Cricetulus griseus: one gene and its partners. The protein of the gene in region 2 binds, or shares a complex with, the protein of the main gene of each other region. Links are inferred from orthologs where the notes say so. Each region holds a gene or a part of one and is shown on either strand. Other genes may lie near its edges. The genes, in order: Usp12, Wdr20, Wdr48 and Usp46.

Evidence for each region.
Region 1: the proteins of Wdr20 (region 2) and Usp12 are in contact, whole or in part, in a crystal structure (PDB 5K1C), measured with the Homo sapiens proteins. The link is inferred for Cricetulus griseus from reciprocal best matches to the Homo sapiens genes WDR20 and USP12. Residues at the interface, in NP_653175.2 of Homo sapiens: Asn41, Ser42, Gly44, Ser45, Arg151, Ser170, Lys259, Ser260, Tyr261, Phe262, Gly263, Glu282, Asp283, Asp284, Leu285, His301, Lys304, Ser305, Trp306, Gln374, Asp375, Thr376, Arg516, Met517, His533, Glu534, Arg535; in NP_872294.2 of Homo sapiens: Glu207, Asn209, Thr210, Ser211, Thr213, His214, Arg217, Arg277, Val279, Phe280, Pro281, Leu282, Glu283, Leu284, Arg285, Phe287, Asp297, Met299, Gln342, Glu345, Tyr348, Thr351, Ser352.
Region 3: the proteins of Wdr20 (region 2) and Wdr48 are in contact, whole or in part, in a crystal structure (PDB 5K1C), measured with the Homo sapiens proteins. The link is inferred for Cricetulus griseus from reciprocal best matches to the Homo sapiens genes WDR20 and WDR48. Residues at the interface, in NP_653175.2 of Homo sapiens: Arg20, Ser364, Thr384, Glu385, Asp386, Glu524, Pro525, Leu526; in NP_065890.1 of Homo sapiens: Val191, Lys207, Gly208, Gly240, Gln241, Gln242, Arg243, Cys244, Ile245.
Region 4: the proteins of Wdr20 (region 2) and Usp46 are in contact, whole or in part, in a crystal structure (PDB 6JLQ), measured with the Homo sapiens proteins. The link is inferred for Cricetulus griseus from reciprocal best matches to the Homo sapiens genes WDR20 and USP46. Residues at the interface, in NP_653175.2 of Homo sapiens: Asn41, Ser42, Gly44, Arg151, Lys259, Tyr261, Phe262, Gly263, Glu282, Asp283, Asp284, Leu285, His301, Lys304, Ser305, Trp306, Gln374, Asp375, Thr376, Leu509, Arg516, Met517, His533, Glu534, Arg535; in NP_073743.2 of Homo sapiens: Asn205, Thr206, Ser207, Thr209, His210, Arg213, Arg273, Val275, Phe276, Pro277, Glu279, Leu280, Arg281, Phe283, Asp293, Met295, Gln338, Glu342, Tyr344, Thr347, Ser348.

Annotation. Positions count from the first base shown.
Region 1 is NC_048597.1:82,630,907-82,635,135, forward strand, and holds the start of Usp12 (ubiquitin carboxyl-terminal hydrolase 12), read right to left. Parts: upstream 2,851-4,229; 5' UTR 2,605-2,850; coding exon 2,557-2,604; intron 1-2,556. UniProt on the Homo sapiens protein: Deubiquitinating enzyme that plays various roles in the regulation of the immune response and inflammation.
Region 2 is NC_048598.1:183,271,372-183,275,642, forward strand, and holds the start of Wdr20 (WD repeat-containing protein 20), read right to left. Parts: upstream 2,808-4,271; 5' UTR 2,759-2,807; coding exon 2,510-2,758; intron 1-2,509. UniProt on the Homo sapiens protein: Regulator of deubiquitinating complexes. Activates deubiquitinating activity of complexes containing USP12. Anchors at the base of the ubiquitin-contacting loop of USP12 and remotely modulates the catalytic center of the enzyme.
Region 3 is NC_048597.1:227,013,768-227,017,493, forward strand, and holds the end of Wdr48 (WD repeat-containing protein 48), read left to right. Parts: intron 1-11; coding exon 12-88; intron 89-1,594; coding exon 1,595-1,784; intron 1,785-2,282; coding exon 2,283-2,378; 3' UTR 2,379-3,189; downstream 3,190-3,726. UniProt on the Homo sapiens protein: Regulator of deubiquitinating complexes, which acts as a strong activator of USP1, USP12 and USP46. Enhances the USP1-mediated deubiquitination of FANCD2; USP1 being almost inactive by itself.
Region 4 is NW_023276807.1:140,561,389-140,565,627, forward strand, and holds the start of Usp46 (ubiquitin carboxyl-terminal hydrolase 46), read right to left. Parts: upstream 2,824-4,239; 5' UTR 2,680-2,823; coding exon 2,644-2,679; intron 1-2,643. UniProt on the Homo sapiens protein: Deubiquitinating enzyme that plays a role in behavior, possibly by regulating GABA action. May act by mediating the deubiquitination of GAD1/GAD67.

The DNA of each region.
Region 1 (4,229 bases), on a different chromosome or scaffold from region 2:
AGGCATCCAGTTCTAAGTCCAGGCTTCCTTCTCTCCACTGTTCCACGCCCAGCCTTACCTCTACTCCAAACTCACCTCCTGTGAGTAAATGGAGGACTGTTTCCACTAGTAAATGTGTACAAATGGTTAAATGGCAGTTAAGTCTTTAACTTCAAAGCCCTCACAGTCTAAACCTGGTACGATGATGTACACCTGAAATCCCAAGAGGCTGGGAGGTGGAGGCAGGACAATCAGGCATTCAGGGCAAGCCACCACTACATACCAAATTCAAACTCTATGCGACCTACAGAAGACCCTGTTTCAAAACACCAGCAGAGAAAAAAAAAAAACCTCATAACCTAATAAAAATGGGGGAGACGACACATGACATACTGCACAGCACTTCTGAGATCACAAAAATGCTGTGCAATTGTATGAGGCAAGTGGGCAGAGTGGTGTTGTTCAGGTCAGATGACCTCCTTAAAAGACAGCTGCATAGTCCATGGATGATGGAACAGTTCACATTCCAAGCAAAACAGAACCTACAGGGCCTTTGTCATTCCTGATTTTCACTTTCATAATTCCCAGAAGATGGACAGCAGCCCTCCTTACACTCTGACCTGTTCAGTACCTACTCAGGGAGAGGAGTAGAATTTATTCAAGTATGAACAAGATGCACCTGATCTTAATAGCACCTTTGGAACAATTTCTTTGGCCAGGCATGGATGTCTATTTATTTGCCAAAACGCATACACATACCACATGTCTAACGAGGGTGAGTTTGGGACATCCTTGACAAGAAGCCTTATTTGCTACAGAATCCTGGCAGGTACACTGTATTACTATGTAAATGAGAATTGTCTTCCTCAAGTAGAAAGTAAACACCATGAAAGTAGGGGTTGCCTTTTGTTGTGGGCGTGTTTTTTCAAGACAAGGTCTCCCTATGTGTAACTCCATCTGCTTAGAGCTTGTGATCCTTCTGCATCCAGAGTCCTGGATGTAGAAGCATGGTCGAAAACGTCCTGCTAGAGACGGCCAGAATCATTTCTGTATTGCCAGTGCTAGTCAGCAGGTGCTAAATGTAAACTTGATGTAACTGAGTGAAGGAACAGTCAGTCCATGGGAATCACACCACTCCTGAAGCCCTAGACTTTGACAATGAACTATGACCCCAAAAGGTGTGGAGCTCAGCAATCTGGTAAAATTATCACTGTAAAAGATTCAATCCTATGTGGCAGGTCTAAAGTAATGAGTACAACCAACCCCAGAAACTGTTAATATAGCCCCTTTCTGAAGACCATGAAAGAACAATTATTCACGTGGGGAAATCGATTCTCCAGTGATTCCTTCTTGCTGTGACTTTTTTGATGCTGTGGACTGTAAACCCACGGATTCCACCCTTTTTTAAATACTGTTCCACAAAATGCAGTAGAAAATCCACTTTTCCTACCTGATTCTCCACTCCTTAAAGCAAAAGCACAGATCACTTTCAGGTGGAAAGTCTGGGGATCTCCTAGATGAAATCCAGGACATAAAAACGGAACAGGATGGTGCAAATCTTTGGTAATGTAACTCCAGACCCACACTGCAAATAATAACTTTTTCGGTGATTCATAAATCGCAACCTCTACGTACAAGTTCAGAAAGGAGCTAATGAATTTGTCACATCATGTGGGAAACTGTGGTGGTGCTTCTGGCAATGCACAAAAAAACACGTTTAGGAACCCACCCACGTTTCGCTCTATTCGGGGTCTGTGTACTTCAACCCCACACTGCGGCGTCTGCTCTATTAAAGTAAAACAAATGACAGGAAAGCTAGTGCAGCTTTTCAAGATTAACGCGGACTCTCAGCGACAAGGCTGCCATCTGGACGGACACAGGTTGGAAACCGCAAGAGTTCGTTTCTCCTCGGCGAGTAGAAAATAGAGAACATTTCAACAGCACTCTTAAAACTTTCCACCGTCACACGCCCCCTTCCCGAGCCCGGGCCCCGGGACTCCACCTAGCCCGAGGAGTAACTCTGCCAGGACTTCCGTCCTCCGGCAGGATCGAGACCCTTCCTTCCTGCCGCAGACCCCCGCCCTACCCCGCGCTCAGACCCACGGAAACGCAGCGGCCGCCGCGTCCCTTCCCCTGGCCCAGTCCCCTGGCTTCCCGGTACCAGTTCCCAGTACTCGGCCCCCAGCCCTACTCCCAGCCTGCAGCCCTTGGTCCTAGTCCCCAGTCCCCCGTTTAGAGTCTCCGGCTCCAGCCCCCAATCCCAGTCCCCACCCCTAGTCCCTAAGTCCCCAGACCCAGTACACAGCCCTTACCCCTACCCCCGCCCCTGAGTCCCCAGGCCCTAGCCCCCAGGCACAGTACCCGAACCCCCGGTCCCCAGACCCCGAGTTCCCGGTCCCCAGCTCCGGTCCGCAGCTCGGAGCCCCGGGGTCGGTCCCAGCCCCGCCTGCTGCGTCCAGCACGCCTTCCCCACGGCCACTCGGCCCCGCGCCCTGTCCGCTCGCTCTAGAGCAGGGCCGCGGGCGGCGCCTCGAAGGCGGGGACCCGCCGCCCGGGCCGCGCTGCCGCCGCACCTACCATGGTACAGATGGAGGCGAATTTGGAGACTGTCATTAGGATTTCCATCCGCCCGGCGCCATCTTCCAGACAGTCGCGGCGGGCGGGGGACGCGGGGAGCCGGGCCGCCCGCTCGCTCCGCAGCCCGCAGCCGCACCCGGAGCCGCCGTGGACCCACGCTTCTAGCCTGCTGGGCCGCCGCTGCCGTCGTCGCCGCGGGCACTCAGGCTTCCTCCGGCCCAGCCCCCGCCCGCCCGCCGGCCCGCCCGCCCCCGGCTCCGCCCCGGCGCACGGCGCAGCCGCCGCCTCGGGGCCCGCGCCTGCCCGGGAAGCCGCTCGCCGCACACCCCGCCCAGCGCGCTGGGGAGCGAGCTCCGCGCAAGGCCCTTCCGCCCGGCCGACCTGGCAGCGTCGTGCCGCCCCGCCCACTCTGCCGCCGTCACGCCCACCGCAGCTGTGCCACGCCCATGATGCCCCGCCCTCCCTCGAGGGAGCGCGCTTTGAGGGAGACGGCTCCACCCAGTGCGTGTCGGGGGCGGGGCGAGACGGGGGCCGCGTCCTACTTGCTTCTGGGTCCTAGCGCGGGCACGCAGTCGCCACCCTAACTACGAGAGCGTGTCTTGGGGAAAAGCGCGATGCTTTTTGCCCTGCGGCGTCAGTGACCGTAAGCAGCCTTCGGAGCGACTGACCCACAGCTCTAAAGGACAGCTAGCGCCACTGTTGAGACAGAAAACTGAGGCTATGCCTGGGAAACTGTGGATGAGTTGGAGAGCAACCCCTCCAAAGCGTCCCAAGCACTTGGTGTTTTTCTGAGCCAAACTCCCTTCTTAGAGACTAATTAGGTAAAAAGACAAACAAGTATGCCTATTAGCTCTTTGAATTAACAGTAGTGGGGGAGGAGAGGAAGGGGAGCCAATCCTGCTTGACAGTGGGATATCAACTCGGAATTTTTGAAGGAGGGGTGTTGATGTCCGAAGAAGGAAGCTGCAGCCAGAGTGTGAGGAGCACATGCGCAGTGTTAGCTAGTGGACGGACCCCGCAGAAAATTCATAAGATCAATCGCTACATTAGAAAGCCTGTGGTTTGTTTTGATTGGCGATCTGAGGGTAGGAACCTTTTCTTCCTCCCACAGCACCCCCACTTGTCTGTGGAACTTAGGGCCTGAATTCAGACAAAGCTCTAAAACCTGGTAAGCCTCACTTTATACAAAGCATTAAAGAAACAAAGAATTCGAACAAAATTTAGTCGAGAAATGGATTTCTGGTACATGAATGCTGTTTCCATAGCAATTCCATTGTAAGCGTCGGGGGGGAGGGGACACCACCGAGTACTGCTAAGCTCCCCTGGCAGCTGCCTCTCTCCAGGTGCCTACCTGCATACAGGAGGAGTCTCCCTCTTTAATATAGATACCATACCATGCCAGGGGCTTGGACTCTGGTTGACACCAGTCAAGTCTATGCAGTGTCTGCTTGCTTGGCTTTCGAGCATGGGCCTACAACATCTATGTTTTAAAGGTCAGGGTGGAGGCTGAACATATGGCTTAATTGGTAACGTGCTGTGTGGGGTGTAGGCGTTCCTGGGTTTCATCTCAGCACTTCATAAACCCTGGTATGGTAAGGTCATCCTCAGCTATGTAGCGAATTCAAGGCCAGCCTGAACCACTTGAGTCCTTTTCTCAGAACATAAATGATCAT
Region 2 (4,271 bases):
ACACCATCATAAGGATATTGCTAAACAAATGGTCTTTAGCTATGCAAGCCAGACCTACTAAATGCAGATGAAGTCTGTTAAGAGAATGATCCAAAAAAGCCTTTCAGAGCTGGATGTGTAACACAGTGAGGGAGCAGTTGCCTAACACGCCAGAGCCCGGGGTTCTGCCCGCACCCGACATTGCAGGGGGAGGGGACACAAAGGAAGTAATACCTAAAGTAGTAATGATTAATGTGGGTGAATTCCACTTTTTAAACCTTATCTTATTACTTATACATGTGTGAATGCCACAATATGCAGGTGCACAAGAGGTTTGAAAAGGACTCTGAATATGCTGGAGCAGTGATGACAGGAGTTTTGAGCTGCGAGCTGGGCTCTGAAGAACACGAGGTACTCTAGACTACTGAGCCATCTTCCAGGCCCTGTGAATTTAACTTTTAAGCTTGTCATATTTTTACATCATCGTTTTTGTTTGATTGGTTTTGGTTTGGGAGGGTGTTTTTGGTTTTTGAGATAGGCTCTTATGTAGCCCTAACCAGCCTGGAACTCTATGTGGGCCAGGCTGGCCTTGAACCCAGAGAGATCCACCTGGGTTTAGAGGTAGGGTCCCACTAACTATATAGCCCATGTTTGCCTCAAACTTGTTAACTGTAGCCCAGGCTGGCCTTGAACTTGCTAATTATAGTCCTGGCTGGCCGCAAAAATCACAATTTGAGTGCTACGATTGCAGGTGTGCACAACCACAGTAGGATCTAATTATAACTTTTCTAAGGTTTATTTTATTTTTTTAAAGTTATGTGTGTGTGCTGTAAGTGGGTACTCAGAACCCAGAAAAGGACCTCAGCTTCCCCAGAGCTGAACTCGGGTCGTCCTCTGCAAGAGCAGTGCCAGTTCTTAACCACTGAGCCATCACTCCAGTCCCTAAATATGTTTTGATAACAAAGTCTTAAAAATTATTTCCAGAGAAAAACCTGAATACTCTGGTACTCGGAGGGGGAAATGTTGAGATGCCAGCTTCTTTTTTGACAGTTACTCTTAATGCTGCCACTACAGTTTACATCTACTGAGTGTGTCAGGGCTCTTAACGGCCATGACAGCTATTATATCATGAATTACAACATGCACTGCAACCCTCCCTTTTTAAAGAAATGCAAAGAAAAGCTTCAAAAGTATCCAAGATCACCAGTGAGTCAGTAACAAAGTTGGAAGGTAACACTAAAACTTCAGCTCCTACACTACAAACCACGACATACTTTCCCAATCCCAAGCATGAGGAGTCAACCGGCTACTTTCAAAACCTTCCAGCACCATAGCCATAGTACACTGACTAAACACAAACCCTGGGCCAAAGAAGCAACACACTGCTTTTGCATACAATTATCTCCTTCCATGTTCTCATAACCATGCATTACAAAGAAAAAAAAAACACCAACTTTGGATATATTAATCCTTGGTAGTGTGCACTCCTCAACATGGAAGATTTATTTTTCCCAGTGACTGAACATTTATAAGTTAATCTTTCATCACCTTGTCACATTCCGTCCAAGGTACTATGGGTACATACATTCATTTCCTCACTCAACAGTCAAAAGTTAAAAAAAACAAGCAATTCTCAGAACATGGTTACATTGCCAATTGGGGGGGGGGGTGCGGCAATAAACTGCTGCTTTTAACCAGACATTTTCAAACACGATGACATGCTTCACGGAATTACTGTTAAGTTCTTGGCTGGCTGCTGTAAAGTAGCATTTCAGGCATCTCCCTCCCTGTTTGGGACACAGCCTGACTCGTTGGACAAGATAAATCTAGGCACGCTCACACACTCACAACACTTGTCAAGACATCCCTGCAACCTCCCAAGTGTGAGCGCCCAGCCCTCTCTCGCCTCGGGGGGACAGAATGACCCTCGCCGGCCGGCCGGCCGCCCGCCCGCCAACCTTTCGGGAGAAGGCTCCCGAGGCGGGGACGGCGACAGCCAGCGGTCCTGCCGGGAAGGGTTTTGGAAACAGTGTTGACACCACGAGAAGAGAGAGAGGCTCGCTCCCAGGAAGTGTCAGTGCGGCAGCAGGTGGAGCAGCCCTGCGTGCCGAGCCGGTCCTCTCTGACCCAGTCTCCAAGTCCTCCGCCTCCCTGCCCCGGTTCCGCCTTACGGACCTCTGCGAGCCGAGCCGAGCCGAGCCGCCCGGGGAGCGAGGCCACCTAAGGCGGCCGCCGCACCTCTTCCGGGGGACCGGCAGGCCCGCGCCCGGGCAGCGTCGGCACCTGACGGACCCGACCGGGGAGGCGGCCGGCGGCTCCCGGCGGCTCCGGCGGCTCCCGGGGACTCGCGGGGACTCGCGGCGCCGCGGCCCCGGAGCCCCCTCCCCTGCGGAGCCCCGGCGCGCCTCCCTCCCGCCTCTCTCCTCCGGGCTGCCCCAGCGGAGTTGCCGGCCGGCCCACTCCAAAGTGCCGGTGACCCCGGCCGCGGCCCGCGCCGCCGGCGAGCCCCCGGTGACGCCCGGGTCGGTACCTTGCGGACCCCCTTGTAGATATAGAAGTAGAGCTCCCGGCCCACATTGAAGCAGAGGCGGTCGCCGTTGCCAGACTGGTCGTTGAGGTTTACGAAGGAGACGCGGACAGGGTTGGATCCCTGCGAGTTGAAGGGCACCCGGTTGGGCCGGCTGTACTCCGAGTGCGGCAGCAGCTTGTACAGACCTTCCCGGGTGGTGAATTGGGTCTTAATCTCGTTCATCTCCTTCCCTCCTCCCTCCGTCGCCATCTTGGAAAGCAGCGTTCATCCTGCCCTAAGTGCCCGGATCACGCCCACCGCGCAGGCGCCGTCCCCGGACGCTCGGGCTCCGCCCCCCACCCCCTTCTCCGCGGCCCCGCCCACCCGAGAGCCAGCCCCCACCCCCCCCACACACACACACACGGGGGCGGGGCGACTAAGCACGCACGCACGCACGCACGCACGCTCGCTCGCTCGCTCGTGCGCTCCCTTGGCGGGCTCGGTACCGCGTGGCGAGCGCAGGCTCCCCGCTTGTGGAAGCGCGCGCGGCGGGCTGGGCTCAGGCGTTCGTCCCTAAGGCGAGGTGAGTCCGCGGCGCTCTGCGACGCCCCCGGGCCGGAGAAGCCGAGGGAGGGCGGAGCCCGAGCCGAGCGGAGCAGCAGCGCGGTGTGCGGACCTGGGCGACCCCGCTGCGCCCGGCTCTCCCCCCCCTCCGGGGCTGGCGGGGACGCACGCAGTCGCGGTGGGAGCCGTCGGGGCCTCCCAGAGGCCGTTTGGCAGCAGGGACAGCAGGAGTGGGTTTCGTTGCCCCTCGCGGTTTTGTTTTTTTGCTCGTGCGAGTGAGAGCGGGGTGGGGAGAAGAGCGTAACTACGCAGGGCTTGCGTTCTCAAGCCTCACCTGAAACCTGACTGGGGTGAGCACTGGCTGCTGCTTGAGACGCTAGGTTGTGTTGGGGCGAGGGTCACGGCCCATAGCTTCGGGAGCTAGACACTGAATCTGTGCCTTACAAAGGTAAAGCTAATCAGTTTTCCAAAGCCTCAGATGGAACTTGAAGTTGTTTGCTAGGAGAACCGTAAAGTGCGAGTATTCTGTACACAGTCTAAACACTTAAGGACAAGCGCACAAGTTAAAGTAGCATTAAGCGATCGCCATTTGGTGTATCCATTTCTGGGTATGTGCACTGGGATACGGACGCTTTTAAAATAAGAAACGTTATAATAGGGTTCTAGAATGGGGGGGGGGGGCAGGGTTACACGAAGAATGAACCATCCCTGGAAAGTCGTGTCTGTAGAGTAGAAGGTGGAGCGAGCCCAGTACAGTGGTGGGCACCTGTAGTTCCAGACCCAAGGAATACCCGAGCCCAGATGTTGGAAGCTAGCCTAGCTCACGGAGCAAGACTCCAGCTCACAAAAAGTAACTGTAAAAAAGCAGGAGCTTTGTAAAGAAATTTAAATCATAAACGTTTTATGCAGTAGAGAGCAAGTATATAAACAGCAGAACTGCCAATGGTGAAAAATGAGTGTAACACTAACACTTTGTAGCTGACCAAAAAAAATAGCACTACAATAAAATCCTTTTATTTATTTATTTTTTAAATAACGAGTTAACTCTTCTTTGAGGAGACTGTGTCTCACTAAATATTCCTGACTGTCCTGGCATCCATCTCAGGAATCCACCTGCCTCTTGCCACCCAAGTGCTGAGATTAAAGGCATGATCCACACACCTGGTTTAAAATCCTTGATATGGGGCTGGGGAGATGGCTCGGAGGGAGGTTAAAAGCA
Region 3 (3,726 bases), on a different chromosome or scaffold from region 2:
TAATATTTCAGAAAAATATGCCCAAATTCAACAAAATTCCTTTCTACCTCCAACCTCATGCATCTTCAGGAGCAAAAACTTTAAAAAAGTAAGTAACCATTGCTCTTCTTGATTGCAGTCACTGCACCTATGGTCACGTGGTGAAAGGGAGACGGCTGCTGGGTGGGAAGCTGGTTATTGTGGAGCTTGTCCCCTGTCAGAATTTAGCTTAGCCCATAATTGCTGACTCATGCCTTTGTAGTCTCAGCACTCGGAGGCAGAAACAGGAAAGAGGCCAGCCTGGGAAATACAGTGAGTTCCAGGCCAGCTGAGACGCCATAGCAAGACCAAGTAAGCCGTTTGTGGTGGCTCACACCTGTAATCCCTATTCTTAGCGGTGGACAGAGGAGGATCAGTTCCAGGGCATGTGAGACTCTGTTTAGGACAAAACCTGTGTATAGTAGCTGCCTCTACAGACCCTTTAGGGAGTAAAGAGAAAGGGGTAACCAGCTTGTGAGCACAGCTTTCTGAGGTTTCAGGAAGGAGGAATCACCTGAACACGGGCGGATGGCTGTACTGCCCAAAGACACACTTCCCCGGCGGGAACAGGCTGAGGATACCAGAAGTGGTTGTGGGGATGCGTGTTCCCTCACATAGGCTGGAGTGGGGAGACATGACGAGTTAGAGGCTTGGTGACTGAATTTGAATGCCAGGTCACCATGACATACTAGCAGAAATTCCTGATAGGTAAGGTAGACAAGGCTCCAAGAGAGGCTTACGGCAGAGAAGCTGAGGCCAGCAAGGGAATGTGAGCCATAATCAGTATGTGTGTGACACCAGCAGGGCAGCTAAACTGTCCCCAGGGTTCCTGAGCTGGCCCACTGGCCAATGAGACACTTCAGGGTTGACCACCACGAGGGTCTGCTCGCCTCGACACTCCTGCACACGCACACACTGGATCAGTTCATAGCGAGCGTAGACACACTTGTAGCAGATTCATGACAGAACCCCAGGATCCTTGAAGAGTTTACACTGTAGCTATGAGGTTTGGTGGTGGTTGAATGATAGCAGAGATGAGGGCCTGGACGAAAGGGACTTCAGCTGTGTGATCCAGGACAAGCCAGCTGCTGGATTTGTGGTGTGGAGCCGCCTGGGGCTTAATGTCTAGCCTGGGGCGTTCATTGTCTGCTTCTAGTTGAAGACACAGCAGTGGGAAGTAACACTGAGCCCTGGTGGTTAATTGGTGGATCTGCCCAGGTCTGTCCTCGGTTCAGGCGCACACATGAAGGACTAAAATGCAGGTAGCTATTGTGTGTAGTACATAAGCCCTAGACGGGCACCATTGGAACTCTCTGACAACTCCCAAATGGATCCAGGGACTGAAAACATGCATTGGTTTCAGATGTCTGTACAAGAGGCTCTCTGTGAGTTCGAGGCCACTCTGGTCTCCAGAGTGACTGCCAGGATAGGCTTCATAGCTACATAGAGAAACCCTGTCTCAGAAAGAAAGAAAAAAAAAAAAAAAAACAGATGTCTGTACAACGTTTTTCTTTAGATGTTGACACAATGAAAATAATAGACTTTGTGGTATCAAAACATGCATTGTCTTTTCTAGAGACAGACTCTCTGCCAGTGACATGCTGCAGGTCCGGAAGGTGACGGAGCATGTCTACGAGAAGATTATCAACCTGGATAATGAGTCTCAGACCACCAGCTCTTCTAATAATGAGAAGCCAGAGCAGGAGAAGGAGGAGGATATTGCTGTGTTGGCAGAGGAGAAAATTGAACTTCTGTGCCAGGACCAGGTGAGTGGACCTGAGGAGTGTAGCTTCATCTCCCTGCAGAGGTACCCAGAAAGTCACACAACGTGTAACCGTGACGTGTGCTTAGATCCTCAAGCAGTTGGCCTCCTTGGGCATCAGCTTTCAGAGGCTCTCAAGAGCCCAGTCTTTTGCCAAGATTCTTCAGCGTACCCGAAGCTTTTCTTCATCTGAGGGAGGTGCTTGGGAAGAGGACACAGATTTACAGATGTCCACAGTAGGGCTGCACCTGGTTAACAGGGGCAAGGTCGTCTTGATTTGCAGGGTAGTATCTATCATGTTAAAGAATTTGGAGTGGAGGTGGGTGGTGAAGAGATGGATCACAGCTAAGAGGCAGTGTGTGTGCTCAGGTGGGGCTGAGCTGCTTCTGCTGGTGGATTTTTCAGATCCCATGTGTAAGCTGGGCCACCTGGCAGGTCCCTGGTTAAGGGTGGCTTTAGCTGTTAGTGACCTTGACGTTTTCAATGCACTTTGGCTGTTCAGGTTTTGGACCCAAATATGGACCTACGAACAGTAAAGCACTTCATCTGGAAGAGCGGCGGGGACCTCACACTCCATTACCGCCAGAAGTGCACGTGAAGGGGGGCCAAGTCCTGGGTTATTCATCAACCTTCCTCTGGGGCCCTGAGTAGTCCTAGGAAGCCCACCAAGCCCTACCGGGAGCAGGAGCTCCACCGGCCGATTTGGTGGAGTCACTAATCGAGATGTAATATAGAACCAGGCTCCATGCATAGATTAAGGTGTCCCCAGGGACTCAGTGTGAGGACAGGAGCCCCAAGCAGTCCTTCGAGGTGTGCAGAGACCTACAACAGCCGTGCGGACTTCACTGACCCCTTTTGAAGGCCCTCTGTCTCTTAGCACTTGTTAGAGAACATCAGCGGGGCCACATCTGTCACCGCGTTTCAAACCCATGAGTTCTGCGGCTTCTCTAAGTACATTCCACTCATGCAGTACCTATGAAGGCTTTTTCCAAATTTGTCATTACAAAAAAAAAAAAAAAAAAAATGTTTTCATCATCATGTAAGAGTTTTGTTTTAATGGGAATCATCACTGTTGCACAATTCAAGAACCAGCCCACTTTGTAAGAAATGACCATGTTGGGCTACTTTTGAAATACGGGATCTCAGCTGTGGTCTGTAGGAGGACCTCCTGCCACTGCACCTGTGTTGTGCAGTACTGTCCCATAGCAGCCCCAACAGCGGTGGCCACTGTCCTTCCTCCAGCAACCAGTCTTCCTCAGAGGCAGTGTCAGTGGGAACCACAGCCTCGCAACCTGGGTGAGCAGCACGATACTGTCCACTTAAGACCATGCTGAAGTCTCAGTTTCATTCAAATGCTACCTAAAGTTTGTGTTATTAGAGTAAAAAGATCTCACAGTCAGTTGGTTTGATATTTATATTGTGGTCCATGTTTGGTTTTCCAGTTTTATGCGTGGGCTTTTCCTGTACCTGCGTCCAGATCTTTTCCTGTCTTTCTAACAATCATAAGCTTTCATAGACTCACTTGGACTTGGAATTATTAACTTATTGGGGATAAACACTTCACCTTTGACAGAAAATACTTTGGATTCTTCTCAAGGTCCTTCTCATTCAGATAGCTCAGTGGTCCCCCTGACCCTCCAGAAGACAAACCTTGAACAAAGCCAGAAGAAGCACAAGTGCCTTCAGGGGCAGTTTATTCCAGGCCCGTCGCCTCCCTCCCCTGTGTGCTCTGTCCCCACGGGAGCAGGGACTGGAGAGGGCTTGTTCTCTTTTCCACATCTTCACAGGTTCCACTGGGGGCCGCTGGTGGGTCCAGGTCGGTCCCTCACAAAATGAGGCACCGATCCGAACAACTGCAGAACAGGGTCCCTCACTGCTAACTGTGGAGCTCAGACATGCCACGGCTTCCACACCCTCAAGTGAGCAAAGACATTTCCCAGGTGTTA
Region 4 (4,239 bases), on a different chromosome or scaffold from region 2:
CTCAAACAAGCTGGGGATCAAAAGGAGAAAGCAGGAAGGATCAAGTAAGAGACCTGGTGAGAAACACAGGAACAAGTGAGACCCAGAAGAGACCTACCTGGAAACAATTCATCGTTAAGTGAGGTCTCTACACGGAGGTAGAGTGAGCTTGTATCTCACGGTGGGGTCAGAGACAGCAGTCTCCACATCACCACTCTTCTCCACTGGGAAATGAGAATGGGAGGGGCAGAACCGACCTGAGCAGCTTTTTATAAGGGGCGGGGTTTCCAGTTCCCACCCCAGCTTTCCTAGAGTGTCATTCAGACCGGCTTTGCATAAGTGACTCTATGGACTGTTTCTATTCAGGTAGGAGAAGACATGATTTCCATGGCCCCTGAAATGACTGGAAGGTGGCATCACAATGAGAAAGAAAGTACTGAGCAGAGCGGCTGGAACTAACTCACTGAGAACTCATGGCCCTGAGCCCCAGGAACTCATCACTCAACACAACCATTATCAGCCCATTTCTACAAGTCAACAGCAAGGCAAAGAGCACTGTGATCAGAGAAACAAAGCTGGTGTGTGCTGCAAGCAGGACTTGAGAGGTGGGTGAAGAACACCTGTCATCCAGCGTTTAAGGCAGTCTCAAGCTGGAGGTCTACCTGGGCTATTGAGACTGTCTCAAAAATCCAAGCCACAGATAAATACATCAGCAGGATTGAACCTAGAGCCTTACCTTAGAACGCAAATATCTCTCCACTTGCTTAAACAGGAAGGTATTAGGTTTACTTCACTATGGGAAGGGGTGGGCGCGGGTAATGGGCCTTAACTTGGTACTTTTAGGTCACCAGAGGAAGCATTGATTCTATTGACACAATACTGGCCCATTTCTTTCATGCCCTCCCAGAAGCTTGTCTCTCTGGCTGAGTTTCACTGAAAACAGGTTGTGACATTATGTCCAGGTGTGCCAAGAAGTCCTAGCTACAGCAAGGGCAAGAACAAGCCAGAGGCAGACTTCCTCTTGGGACATGCTAGCTCTCGAGTTTCCACCCTGCTTCAATACTGAGAAGTGTCACTGAATACAAACTGGACAAGAACAGCATCACAAGCAGGCACTGAGTCTCAGGAGCCTGTAGGCCTGAGGCCACCCCCACAGGTGGGAAAAACAGCATTCAAGCCACTGTGGTTTCACAGTTTGCCCCAGGAGCTGGGTTACAGCAAAGACACTGAGAAGAAATACATTGTCTTCTCAGGGCATCCATTGACATTAATGCCACTGGACAGGAACCTGTGTCTTCAAGCAGAAAGAGGAAATGTCAAGGCTGCAGGAGCCACTGCCATCATCTAAGGAGACCTGTACCACCAAGCAGGCAGCCATCACTCTGGGAGCTCCTGCATTTGCCTTGCTGGCATGGCCTTGGCTGCCGGTGCTGAAAGCTGGAGCCAGCCTCAGCAGGTCTCAACTCCACCTGAGCTAACACATGGCTCCTTAATGCTCTGTGCCATGTGTTGATCTTGCAACAGAATGTGGGACAGAAGATTTAAAAGGCTGTGTGAGGGGGGAAGGGCAGCCAGATCACCTTACCTAAAGCCTTCTTAATCAGGCCTCCTCAGATTCCCTTTAGGGGCTAGTATTACTATCTATCTGGTGGGGTGAGGGGGTCCCCAAAATGGCAAAAAACACCAGTGTTCCAGCTTGAAGGGGCTCAGAGGGGAGAGGATCCAGAGAGTGTAGGCAGAGCCTGAAGCCCCACACAGTGGGCAATGCCTTACCCCCAAACTGACCTCCCTAAGGCTCTCACAAGTGGAGGTAACAGGGGACCCAAAGGCTGGAAACAGGTCTCAGGGAAACTAAACAGGACAGCAAAGTAATGGGGAAAATCCACACTGAAGTGACCGGTGGGTTATGCCCCACCTCCCACTCCCCACTCCTCATGCCCCCTCAGTCCATCACAACGGTGACATGCCGGGCAGTGCCCAAGCTAAGTGGAGAGGAGGCGGGGCAGGATGACCCCTGCAGACTTCCTCACACCCACAGCTGCCTCGCTCCCCCAGGGCCTGCAAATGTTACTGCCGTACAATCTCTCCTGCAGGTGGGGTAAACTGAGGCCTCCAGAACAGATCCGCCTCCGTGCTTTCTGATACCCGGCTTTACTTCACCTCTCTAGCCAGATTCTGCACTTGAATTTTTTTCCACTGCTTTTATGTCTATCCAATTTCTCCCGGTAAGAGCACTGCTGTTGCAAAGTGAATCTTAAATACAATCGAGGCTGAACTCAGAGGACAGTCAGGGAGTCCGACGAGGGTTTATTTACTGCACCAGGAGGATCTGCGTCCTCCCTCTCCGGGCTCGTACCCTCACGGTCCTTCCCCGGGACATCGGTGTGCCACCTCGAGCCCTTCGCCCCCACCCACCGCCCACCGCCCACACCGCAGCTAGAGGGCGGGGGCATGGGGCCGCCCTGGGGATCCCCGGGATCTACTAGGTCCCCAACTGGGACAGAGGCTAGGGACTGCGGTCAGCCGGCCCTGCCCCGGGGCCGGGAACTTCTGGCCGCACAGCCCCTACGGCCACCACGGCGCGCGTGCAGCTCCAGCCCGGGGTTCCCTTTCTTTGCCTGACTCGCCGCGGGCGCGACCCCCGGAGGCTCGGCGGCCACTCACCATATTACAGATGGAGGCGATGTTTCGGACAGTCATTAGTCTAAAGGTTGCAGCGATCGCGCACCGCCATCTTTACCAGGGGAAAACGGGACTGTCCATGGTGGCGCGCAGCGAGGCCGGGCGGCGGCGAGGCGGCCTGGGGCCGGCTTGCAGTGGGGTTGGCGAGAGAGGCCGGGCGCGGCGAGGGCGGGCGGCGGCGCGGGCGGGGAGTGGCGGAGCGACGCAGCCGGGGCCGCGGCCGGCGGGAGGAGGAGGAGCCCGGAGTCGAGAGGCGCTGAGCCGGGAATCCTGGGCTCACGCTGCCAGCCTGCTCGTCCCCCCGGACTCGCTCGCCCAACCCCGCTGGAAGCCAGCCGTTCTTGCTCCGCTGCCCCAGGGTCCTGCTCCGCTCAGGCTGCACCGAGAGACGGTCCCCAGATAAACCCAGCACCACGGCCTTCCCGCCTGACCCAGGACCGCACCGGGCGCTGGACGCTGGCCGATCGCCGGCCGGGGACCTGCACCGCGGGAACACGAGAGCTCTCGGTTCCCGATTTCCCTCTGTCTGTTTCCCTCTGTTCCTGCTGGTCTCCAACAAGCCTTGAGCTTTAGGTGTTGGTTAGCGGAGGATATAAGGAGTAGGGGTGACTGTAGTCCAACTTTAAAGTTTCTCGCCTGGGTTTCAGCCAGATGGCATCCGCCGGAACCCGAAAAGTAAAAACGACCAGGACATGGGCGTGGCCAGAAAGCCCTAGCCAGCAGTAACCCCGAAGCCTGGGAAAAGGTCTGCCAGAAAGGAAAGAATTCCGGATCTAGGCAGATAACTGTCGGAGATTTGTGACAGAGGCAGAGGTTCTAGGCGGTACTAGAGGCTGTCCAGGAAAGATGAGAACAAAACTTCCGTATCCCCCACCCGCGGAGCTCCTGATCTCAGCTTTGTGAAATGGACGCTGTTTGAGTTTTTACATGTCCTGCAGAAGCAGAGACCTCAGGTTGCAAATGTGTACCCCGCTTGAAGAATAAGTTCATGAGGATTGAAAGAATCCATCTCAAACGTGGGGAACAATTGTGTAGACAAGGTTACAATTCTATGCTTCCCACAGGGAAGCAGTGCTTGTGAAACGTGATAAATTGCTGGGCCAGTGTGTTTTGTGACAAATTAAATTAGGAGAGAAATTAATATAATTGAAGACAGCTTTATCTAGCCAAAAGTAACTAACTGGGGGAAAATAGGTTTATACACATAACATGTGAGAGTTGTCCATTGGTAATTCTAGGACCTGGGGTGGGAATAGAAGACAAACACTACTGACTGAAGATTTGGGGGATCAAGTGGATACTGCATTTTTCAGTGTGTAGAAGGACTAATATTCCTCCTCACACTTAGTCATCCTACCTAAAATTTATTTTTAATTTTTTTACTGCTGCCAGTTACGATATACTTTAGGAGTCCTTCAACTTCTTCCATGACTATGCGTAATAGGCACAATTAGCTCCATAAGGTTTAGAGATCAGGTGTCCTACCCAGTTTCTGCTACCCAAATGGCATAGATGCAGGTGTGCTAACCTCAGCTGGGCACCATTTTGGGAAAAGACATTGGTAAAACACCCAAACTA